Linked DNA regions of Arabidopsis thaliana. The protein of the gene in region 1 interacts with the protein of each later gene in a pairwise test. Each region holds a gene or a part of one and is shown on either strand. Other genes may lie near its edges. The genes, in order: PPX1 and TAP46.

Region 1 (5,244 bases):
TCCTTTCCTTATATGCAATTCATTCATTGTCTTACATATCATTACATCGTTTTTGTTTCTTCGCATTGGCAGGTGGGCAATTGTATACATTGCGCAGATGAACCCTCTCATTGTCCCTATCTTAAGCGAGGTGGAGTAGAAACCATTCTACTCAAACTAGGAAACCAATGCACAAATTTGAGTAAGAGCCCCGCTGCTCTTTCTGTATCTTCTTCAAACATATTTGTTTTCCCCTTTGTAATTCTTATCGTGGTGTGGAACAACGAAACTATCCCCCTCTTTACTCAAACATATTCTGTCTCTCATTCAATTCTTGAACAGTTTTCATATACTCAAAGACTCTACCAGAGAGTGAGTGTATTGTTGATGAAATAAAAACATTTGGCAGAATATTCGCCATTTCCCATCTTCATCTCCTACCAAGGAAGGAATTTTAGGATTTTCTTTTTGTTCATGGCAAGTTTCTATCAGAACCAGTTCGATCTGACATGGCTGTCAAATTGTCCTAATGCTTCCCTGTGAATTCTATTGATATAACTGTGAGCTCCAAAACTGTTTGAGGTCTTATCTCCTAAGAAAGTACAAACTTGAATCAGGACAAAATCACTCTTTAACTACCAATACACAAACACTCTTTTGACTACAGTTACACCAAAACCGGAAACAACAACAACAATATCTTTTTTAGACAACCCCAGTTCGATCAGTCTTTGTGGCCTAGGTAGAGCTCGCCTGAAACAACTCTATTGTATATTCTTCTGCACTGCAACCTAAACACTGAACGAATAGTAATTCTCTTCCTCTTCAACGGAGTTGAATATTGACGCTAGTTCGACTTTGGGAATAAGGTTTTCGAAGTTTTGCCCATTATAGGAAGTAATCAGGGGCCGGCTTTTTGGCGGGAGGCCCTCTCGAGTCCTGCATATAGAAAATATGTCAGTCTACTTATCTGCTCAACGAGATCAGAACGGGAAGTAACATATTACTAAAAGGGTCATACCTGCTGGGCTGCATCAAACACACGGAATTCTTTATTTAGATTCTCGTCAAGCTCTAGAATTGAAGCCACATTACCGCATCTGGAGCATAAGTGAAATAGGAGTAAAAATCAAGCTACAAGAAATGAGGATAGATAGACTGAAACAGACGGCTCTGAGAATCTTATTTACCTGTAACAGTAATTTGGGGCTGACCACACTGTCACAATCTGGCTATCAAACATCCATTTGTAACCCTCCATAACTAGTTGATGGGCACGGGCTATGTAGTCTATGTTGTTTGAGTGGTTAAAAGACGTGACAACACTGCCACCAAAAAGGAATCCGGCACCACGAGGGCTCAATCCCCAGCCATCAACAATATCTTCAGGATCAGACCATAGGAGATCACACATGGCACCATCATGTGGTACTTCTTGCTTCCGGTCAATTGTCCTAATCTGCCATAAAGGTATGGTTCCGTCAGTTAACTAATTCTAGTTGGAAACTTGTAATTATCAGTAGAGAGAGCTCTTATATCAACCTGATCAAGAGTCATAATAGCTGGAGAAAGACCACCATGAACACAGAATATCTTGTTCTCCACAACAGCTGAAAGACTATAAGAAAAGACAGATTAAAGAGTCGGAATATTCCAAAGACAAGTCAAAAACTGAATATAAAGAAAGTGAATGCTGCTTTGAATACCTCATGTAGTCAAAAATGTCGGTGCAGTATCTCCAGACATTTGAAGAGCCATATTTACGCAAACACTCATCATAAAATCCATAAACCTACTAAAAGCAGACTTTATGAATAGTCTGAATATATACATACACAAAAGCAAAATTTTCAAATGAGACTGCATTCACCTGTGTGATTTGCCTGCTTTCATGGTTTCCTCTGATGAGAGTTATGCGGTCTGGATATCTAACCTAAGAATATCAAAGCAATCTACTTAAGCGATTCCAAGAACCAATTTAGCAGAAGAGATTGTGCAAAACAAGGAAACCACAACAAAGTAAAACACAGTCCAGAGAGTTACCTTGAGTGCGAGTAGAAGTAGAAATGTCTCAACCGAATAATATCCACGATCAACAAAATCTCCCATAAACAAATAGTTGGTCTTAGGACAATCACCCCCAACTTTGAAAAGCTCCATCATATCATAGAACTGCCCATGGATGTCACCACATAACTATCCCAATGGAAAAAGAAAGACAAGTATTAGCAATTCTTGCAAATCATAAGAAACATCAATGGTATCTACTCTCACTTCTTAACCCTGTAACTTCACTGCCCGTGAAATCTTTTGACTTGTAACAATAGCAAGAAACAAAAACAAGTCTTTCACTGGATCCTAGGAATGATATACCATTTGATACAACATTACGAATCCAAATTATAAAGACACAAAATCTCCGCGCCTATTTTCTTCAGATTTATTGATTAATAAGCTCATAATTCCGAAACCCAGATCGAGAAGTAAGGTAAAGTAAGAACTTACAGTGACAGGGGCATCAACTCTCTGAACATTACTCTCTTCAACAAGAATTTCCATGGCTTTGAGGCAAAGAGCCTTCACCTCCGATTCGCTCAATGGTTCGCATCGCTTAAGCTGCCCTATTTGCCGATCTAGGTCTGACATTTTTACCTCTCCTCTCCTCTTCTTCCTCCTTCTATTACTCTTCAGCCACCGGAAACGATCCTTAATCTGATGAATAAGAAGGAATCAACCAACCCTCGCCAAAAAGAATCTGATATTCTCCACTGTCGAATGTATTAAGCTCGTCGTCTTCTTCCCAAGGAGAGAGAATTAGCTCCTCTCCGCAGGAATGTTTTTTCCCCCCAAGGTTTTTCTTTCCCTCCTTATGGTTTAGATTATTTTCAAAATCGCCTCACTTCTTTTCTGAAATTACATATTCGTCCAGAATGTGTTAAGTTCACATAATGGGCCCAGAATATAACTTTATAAGGCCCGGCCCACATATATCAAAGCGGCCATTTTCGTAATTTCTCCACGGCGAGAAGAGAAGATAACGGCATTTCGATCGGAGTTTTGATCGGCGACGATGGAGAGAAACGTTGAGAAGATGCTGAACAGAGTTTCAGTCGTGTTCTTAAGCATCGGAACAGTGTTAATGGTGATTATGATTCTCCAGACGCCAAAACTTGTATTTCACCAGAAGCTCCATCGAAACCTCATACGCATTTTCTGAGATCTACATGCGATTCATCGCCTCGTCAGCATCTTCCTCTCCCAAAGAAGAACGCTCGAATCTGGTTCTCTGGAGCTTGGAAATCGCGTCTATCCTCCTTCTCTACCTACTTCCTCCGATTTCGCGATCTCGGATTCATTCAAAATCACACCAAAGCTCTCTGTCTTTCCGACGGAGCAGGCCATGCTCCGATGGCTCTTTCTCAGATCGGATTATCCGACGTTACCGCAGTTGAATTGGTTGATTCGATTCCTCTTGTGAAAAGAGCTGATCCTCATAACCTTCCGTTTTTCGACCGTGTCTTTGATTTTGTCTTTACTGCACATCTAGCTGAAGCTCTGTTTCCGTGGCGGTTCGTGGAGGAGATGGAGAGGACGGTGCGACGCGGTGGGTTTTGTGTGGTTGCGGTTGATGAATGTAGTGGAGATGATGTTAGAGACATTGCTAGGTTTTTTCATAATTCCAAGATCGTTGATGTTGCTAATGTAACCTTAGAAAGAGTCAAAAGAACTAGTATACTATTCAAACTTCAAGACTCTAAAAGGACTAGTATACTATTCAAAGTTCAAGACTCTCTTTCATGAAGGTGTTTTAATCTTTTCTTCTTTTCTTTTAAGACTCTCCTTCATGAAGGTGTTTTAATCTTTTCTTCTTTTCTTTTGATTGCGTTGATTCATAGGTCCTTTCTGGATTCTCAGACTGCTTCAATGTTCATGGAGTGGAGTTAACTTTGAGTTAATGTGACCATATATTTCGTTACACTACTATAGAGTAAGTCAGTAATAAATTTAGCAATAATAACTAACAGTGTAAAATTGGAAATAACAGAAAAAGGGGTTGGTACAAAGAGAGACCAAGGCAACAAAACATACAGAAGCTTTTCTTTAGAGCTGCAACTTATAGTATAACCATACAGAACTGGAAAAACAAAAACAAACATAGATCTCTTAGACCAAAAGTCCATACTACTACCCGAACCTTCATTTACCGTATAGGCACAAGCTTCACATTGATCGATTATTAGCTTAAAATGGCTCGATCAATTACTTAACATAAAGGATACTTTTAGTAGTATGCTGTCTTGTCTTCACTGATACCAGCGTAGATTTTGGCACAGTACTCGAACAAGCTTCCATCGAAACACCGCCTAATAGCTTCTTTTGACAAAAACCCTTCTTCATCCCTTGCTAGCAAGTACAACAGTCCCCACTCTATTTTGCCTGCGATCCTAATACATACATGTAGATCCAAACATTATAACTACAACAACATTGACTAATACTTTAGTTTAACACATGCATTCAATAAACTAATGAAAGGGTAAGAAAAAGGAAGGCTAATGCTGTGATTGTACCATCCAAAAATGTCCCAAGCGTCACGGTTTCCTTCTGTCATCTCCCATAGTTCTCCAAGACTCAACTTGTCTGGCAAGGTTTTCGCATATTTGCTAAATATCAACTCAAGATTCACCGGCATAAACCTGAAAAGCATACGGAAGTTATACCATATGCATCAGTCATCATATTTTCTATCAGTCAACCGTTTTTTTCAAGATAATATGGTCACTCACCTTCCTTCATTGTCATATGTTTTTGAATCACTTCCATGCTTTGACTTGTGTATGTTGTGTATGTATATAGGGAAGAAAGGTGAAGGTAACCACCCCTGCATATAATCAAGTAGAACACTAACAAAATGGACAACGGATTTGGATATGATAATTTCCGAGTCTAGAGTAGAATCAATCAAAGTTTTGCGATATATGTCAGCAGAGGAGGAGAGGTGTTACCGGAAGAGTGGCATAGCTAAGGGTCAGGTTGATAACAGCGGCTATTATAAGCGACCCAATGATATTGAAACCAAGCATTCGCAGTCCTAATCACCGGTTGGGATCAACTTTTTGTACATATAATACTAACGAAAAATTTGAAGTTGAAATATCTATATATACTATATAGACATACCAGAGTAGGTCTCCCAAGGGTAAATGATGCCATTATCATCGATATCGAAGAAGGAGACATGCTGTTGAAGAACACTAAGTCCGT
Region 2 (5,156 bases), on another chromosome or scaffold:
TATAACCAAGACGATGTGGTCCAAGATGATAATTCAGGTATGTAGGGTAAAATCCTCGATTGATCATGTGTGGACGTTAATGTCAGATTAAGTATTTCACACCTTCATAGTTTCCAAGGAGCAAATACAATTCCTTGGTGATATTAAACTAATTAATTATTTAGATTAGAGACAAACACACTGGTTTGGAGACCTCTAATAATGCTTGTGTCATGAAATACCTTCCTCCAGGTATTTTACCTAGTGCTCTCGCTGGTACTCATAAATTCTGAGAAGCTACTGAAGCTGAAGCATGGTCAGACGGGCAATGCCGAAAAAATGATGAACACATTGATATTCAATTCCTTTGTCTTCTACCTGGTAATATCTGATTTTTTCCCACTCTTCTAATTAGAGTTCATATGTTGATCATCTCTCTATCTTTCTAAAATAACGCAGGTTTTTAATGAGTTTGAAATCCAAAGTGTAGACCAAACCTTCAAAGAAGTCCTTAGAGAGAATATGTTTCTCGTTACAATAACCTCAACTATCATATCTCAGGTAAGTCCTCTTTACAAGTGAACACAACATTTGTCTTTTCTTATATATCCCTAAACCATATATACTCTCTTTCTGTTCTTTCATATCAGATAATCGTGATCAAGTTCGCAGGCATTTTCATTGACTTGAAAAAATGGGTGACGACAAGTCTTTTGGGGTTACTCAGGTTCTGCTCATAAACATCCTCAACTACTTTCTTTAATTTTTTACTCTTCACATTTTTTCTCAATACGTAAATTTAACCTTTTTTCAGCCAAGTCGCCACTCGCTACCCTTACCCAGCCATCCAATATCATCGTAACTGAGATTTCTCTTGCCGTATGGCTCAATTCTCGTAAGAAGTAAGAACCATTCACTCCCAAAGTCTCCTAATGAATCGCATATGACTATCTTATTTTAGATCTGGCAAGTAGTTTCTCTCAACTTGCAGTTCTCATCTCAGGTCAACTTTTGAAGCATCCCTCTAGCTTTGGTCGCTTAGGAGGCTGTTGTTCTCTGCGCGGGTGTGCGTGAGAGATTAAATAATGCGGATTATTGTGCTGTGTATATAGCATACTACAGTTTATTCAGTCAATTCATTTTCCTCTTGAAGATATGTCGAGTGAAATGCGTGAAAGTCAAACATTTAAGTTCTGTATCCATTTCCCTTTCAAGCTATGTAGACTGTAATGGGTGACAGTCATATATAGTATATATAGTAAGCTCTGTTCAATCAATGCACCTCTTCGTTTTCGATTCATGAATTGTTTGTTGGATGTTCCTAAATCTTTGGATCCAGCTGATTCACCGCGATTGAGGTGGCTTTAGTTATCGGTATCCACCATTCCTTACTGCTATAGGTCGATCGAATCAATAACACTACGACAATTCGGGCTGCTTAGACAGCGGGTGCGATACTAGTTTATTCATACTCCTACTCGTACAAAAATCAAGAAAATTTCATCTCCATTCAAATTAAGAAAAAAAACAGTAAACATTCATATACCATAGCCACAATCACATTCGTGGCGGTTTTACACTACACCCGCCGCACCTGATCTTTGACTTGATATTTTTATACAACTGAGTCGGTTTTTGACTTTTGAGGTTGTGGACAGATCTAACGGCTAATAGAATTCGAGTTATCTACTTCACCTGACGCGGCAAAATCTCAACCGTCCCTTATAAAGCTCTTCGCGGTTAACATTTTCTCTCCTCTGTCTGTGTGTACTCGTGGTAAATTAGTCAGATTTCGATTTGGAACCCTAAAAAAATTCAAAAGACGATCCTCTTCTCGAAGAAACTCGATTCTTGTGGATTCGATTTCATTAAGGAATTTTGAATTGTTGCCTGTGATGGGTGGTTTGGCTATGGAGGAAATGCCTTTATCGGTGCTATTCGAGCAAGCTAGGAAAATTCATCTTGCTGCTTCAGAGTCTGGTGTTGATCAGGTGGAAGCTTCTACCTCTTTTTTATATACAGATTCGATTAGGGTGTTTATCTGAAATGGGTATTTCGAATCCGAATCGCGAGTTTTTACTGAATTGGACATTTCCGGGGATGCTTAGTTCATTCTTTTCCTTTGGTTTGTTAGGATGTTGTGAAGAAAGGATGTGAGATGTTTCAGAAGTGCGAAGATATGATCGGGAAGCTGGCGCTGTTTTCGTCTAACGAGACTAAAGAAGATATTAGCACCAACAATCTCAAATATCTTTTGGTATGCAATTGAGTCTCTGTTGTTTGGATTTTTGTAATTTGTTTGTATTCTAGTTTTGTTATTAGTTTTGGTGTGGAAAGATCTGAAAGTGAAAAACTTTAGCTTGTCCTGATGCTTCTAGTTTTAGCTACTGACTGAAATTCAAAATGGAGTCTGAGATTTTGGATTGTAACGTTTTCCATTGAACTTACTCTGTGTGGAGACCATAAGATTGTGTTGAGATCATAAGATTGTGTTGCGAGTTGACATTTCTATAAAGTGACGAGGGATTATATTGTCTTGTGATTATAGGTGCCTTATTATCTTGCGGAGTTGACAGAGAAAATCATACAGGAGGACCGGATTCAGATTGTCAAAGCCTCGTATGCTAAGTTGAAGGTTAGTTTTCTGCTGAGTGTTTACATGTTTTTGTATCCCTTTGATGCTATTGCAAGTGGGAATGAGCATTTGGTTGGATTTTTTTTGAGATTGATGTATAGTTTTGTTATTGTGTCTAGGAGTTCTTTTCGTTCTGTGAGGCAATGGAGCTTGTTCCGGATGAGGAGTTGGAGGCTTCTTCACGAGGAGGTTCTGGTGCACCTGCTGATCGAAGGGCTCTCAAGGTAGATTCAGCCCTGTTTCTTTTGTTTATGTTCTGACGAGAATGAAGTTTAAAGTTTTCGGATTTTGAAATGCGTGTTGTGTCTTCATGATTATGGTACTTTGTAGATAGCTCGGTTCAAACGTCAAAAGGCTGCAGAGGCAAAGCTTCTTGAAATTAAAGAGAGGAAGGAGCGACGTGGACGTTCCACTAAAGCATCAGCTTTGTCGACTCCGGTTGAATCTGGAGAAGATGATATTCCAGATGATGACAGCGAAGAAGAGAGAGAGGTTTGTCCCACTTTTTGTTTTGCTGCTTTCTCTAATTCGATTTTTTCTTCTAAGCTTTCTTGTCTTATTGCTTTCCTCTGCAGGCCTGGCTCTCCTCAATTAACTTGGCTATTTGTAAGGTTTGTCTAAAAATCATTTCATTAGAACCCTATGATTTGTCACAAGTTGAGGAGGCATTATCTTATGATTGAACTTCGTTACAGGCTATTGATCTGTTGGAAATGCTAAAGAGAGAAGAGGAAATGCTCTCTGCAATAAAGGAAAGACAGTTGAAGGTAGCTTACCGTGGTGTTAGTTTTTTTAGGTGCGAACAAAACTATTTGATAAACATATAAAAGAAGAAAACGTGTTATGATATTTTGATCAGGATGGAGAGGGTGGATTTTCTCGGGATGCTCTTGATGATCGTACAAAGAAAGCTGAAACCTGGCACAGAGACGCTGCTGCAAGGATACAGTACTCTAAACCGGCACAACCAATCACTTGTGCCACATTTGCACAAGATGTGTTAGAAGGAAGAGCTTCGGTATCACAAGGTCACGAACACAAGAACCAACCTCTTATATTCGGTCCAGCAAGCATCGTGGGTGGACCGCTCTCTACCGAGAGAGAAAGAATGATAGCTCAGGTCTTCCAACCAAGTCACAGGTAGACACAAAATATTGCTCATTACAAAATCTTAATCCTTTTTGAGATTTAAAAATGGTGATTAAACTTGGGTTTTGTAGGATGCCAACAATGTGCATAGAGGATGCTGGGTTAACAGAGATGAACATAATGAATGATTGGCAAGAGCAGACGAAAAAAGCCATTGAAGAAGCAACCACCTCATGGTACAATGATAAACCTCTAAGAAGAAAAGAAGAAGACGAGGAAGATGATGATGAAGACGAAGAAGCTGTGATGAAAGCTAGAGCTTTCGATGATTGGAAGGATGATAATCCTCGCGGTGCAGGTAACAAGAAACTCACACCTTGTGGCTGAGACTAGAGACCGAGACACACATTATTTAACACTTTCTCCCTCTCTTTTGTTTCTTATTTCCAAAACCTCTTCGTTCACTTATTATAATGTCTGTAATGTAATCATCTTTCTACTCTTAAGCCTTAGACTTACAGATTTTGGATTCACGGATTCACTTTCATTTTCGTTGGGAATATTATTTTTAAATACGCCGACTACTAAAGATACAATGTATATATCTAGTAAAATACTAACGTGTGACTGGATCTGAGACCATCTTTTGTTGTCCTCTATTATTGTGTAACCCACGTTCAATCACAGCACCATTTATGGAATCAAACAACAAAAGAGAAGCGAGAAAAAAAAAAGAGATAATAACAACACACATTTTGCTTGTGAATGATTTAACTTCCAAAGTACAATTAACAACATCATTAACATGTAAACCAGGATTCAATCTATACCCTAGTTTTCCTCCTGGAAACAACACTTTTTGCGACTTTAAAAATCAAAGAAGATGAAAAAAGTTGACAAGAACAGAGAGATAACAAAAGGGATCAGATTTGATCCAAAAAAACGGATACCCAGAAAAAAGATGTCAAATGATCAAATTTTGATGCAGATTCAAAGAATATGAATTTGGAGATGTACACAGATGATGATAACTTTTACCCTTGAATGCATTGAAACCCTTCACAAATCCAAAGCCAAATTCCAAACAAAACAGCACAGATGCAGAAATCAAACATCAACACAACCCAAACATGTTTCTTCCAAATCTGTTTCGCCTTTTGTCTATGATGATGATCACTCAACAAACCATTTCTCAGTTCCTTGCGTAAGACTCCATTATTACCATTCCCACATAAATCAACATTCTTCTCTGATATCTCCTGAATCGAACCAACCTCACAAGAATCTCCCCCTTTTGCTTCATTATGCAATCTCTTCTTCTTCTTCAACGCCTTCAATGGTTTCCCCAAAAGTGGCATCAAAGCAGCTCTTCTTCCTTTAGATGAATCAATACTCGGATTTCGACTCTCTCTCGCTACACTCCTCGGTGATCCAACCAAATCCATATCCAATA

The links.
Region 2: the proteins of PPX1 (region 1) and TAP46 interact in a two-hybrid assay, tested with the Arabidopsis thaliana proteins (one study listed by BioGRID).

What each region holds. Positions count from the first base shown.
Region 1 is NC_003075.7:13,469,530-13,474,773, forward strand, and holds PPX1 (protein phosphatase X 1), read right to left. Parts: upstream 2,958-5,244; 5' UTR 2,626-2,957; coding exon 2,485-2,625; intron 2,176-2,484; coding exon 2,023-2,175; intron 1,913-2,022; coding exon 1,850-1,912; intron 1,772-1,849; coding exon 1,686-1,771; intron 1,598-1,685; coding exon 1,522-1,597; intron 1,439-1,521; coding exon 1,170-1,438; intron 1,080-1,169; coding exon 1,001-1,079; intron 919-1,000; coding exon 868-918; 3' UTR 501-867; downstream 1-500. Other genes in the region: AT4G26710 (ATPase, V0 complex, subunit E), read left to right, coding at 73-139; AT4G26730 (S-adenosyl-L-methionine-dependent methyltransferases superfamily protein), read left to right, coding at 3,050-3,121, 3,226-3,780; ATS1 (peroxygenase 1), read right to left, coding at 4,262-4,424, 4,551-4,676, 4,767-4,861, 4,986-5,071, 5,161-5,244.
Region 2 is NC_003076.8:21,484,588-21,489,743, reverse strand, and holds TAP46 (2A phosphatase associated protein of 46 kD), read left to right. Parts: upstream 1-1,701; 5' UTR 1,702-1,874; coding exon 1,875-1,970; intron 1,971-2,113; coding exon 2,114-2,236; intron 2,237-2,527; coding exon 2,528-2,614; intron 2,615-2,733; coding exon 2,734-2,838; intron 2,839-2,944; coding exon 2,945-3,106; intron 3,107-3,189; coding exon 3,190-3,225; intron 3,226-3,309; coding exon 3,310-3,381; intron 3,382-3,473; coding exon 3,474-3,754; intron 3,755-3,834; coding exon 3,835-4,090; 3' UTR 4,091-4,427; downstream 4,428-5,156. Other genes in the region: AT5G53010 (calcium-transporting ATPase), read left to right, coding at 1-37, 232-360, 439-540, 630-706, 794-845; AT5G52990 (SNARE-like superfamily protein), read right to left, coding at 4,738-5,156. UniProt on the Arabidopsis thaliana protein: Involved in the positive regulation of the TOR signaling pathway. Acts as a negative regulator of PP2A catalytic activity. Plays a positive role in the ABA-regulated inhibition of germination, probably throught its interaction with ABI5.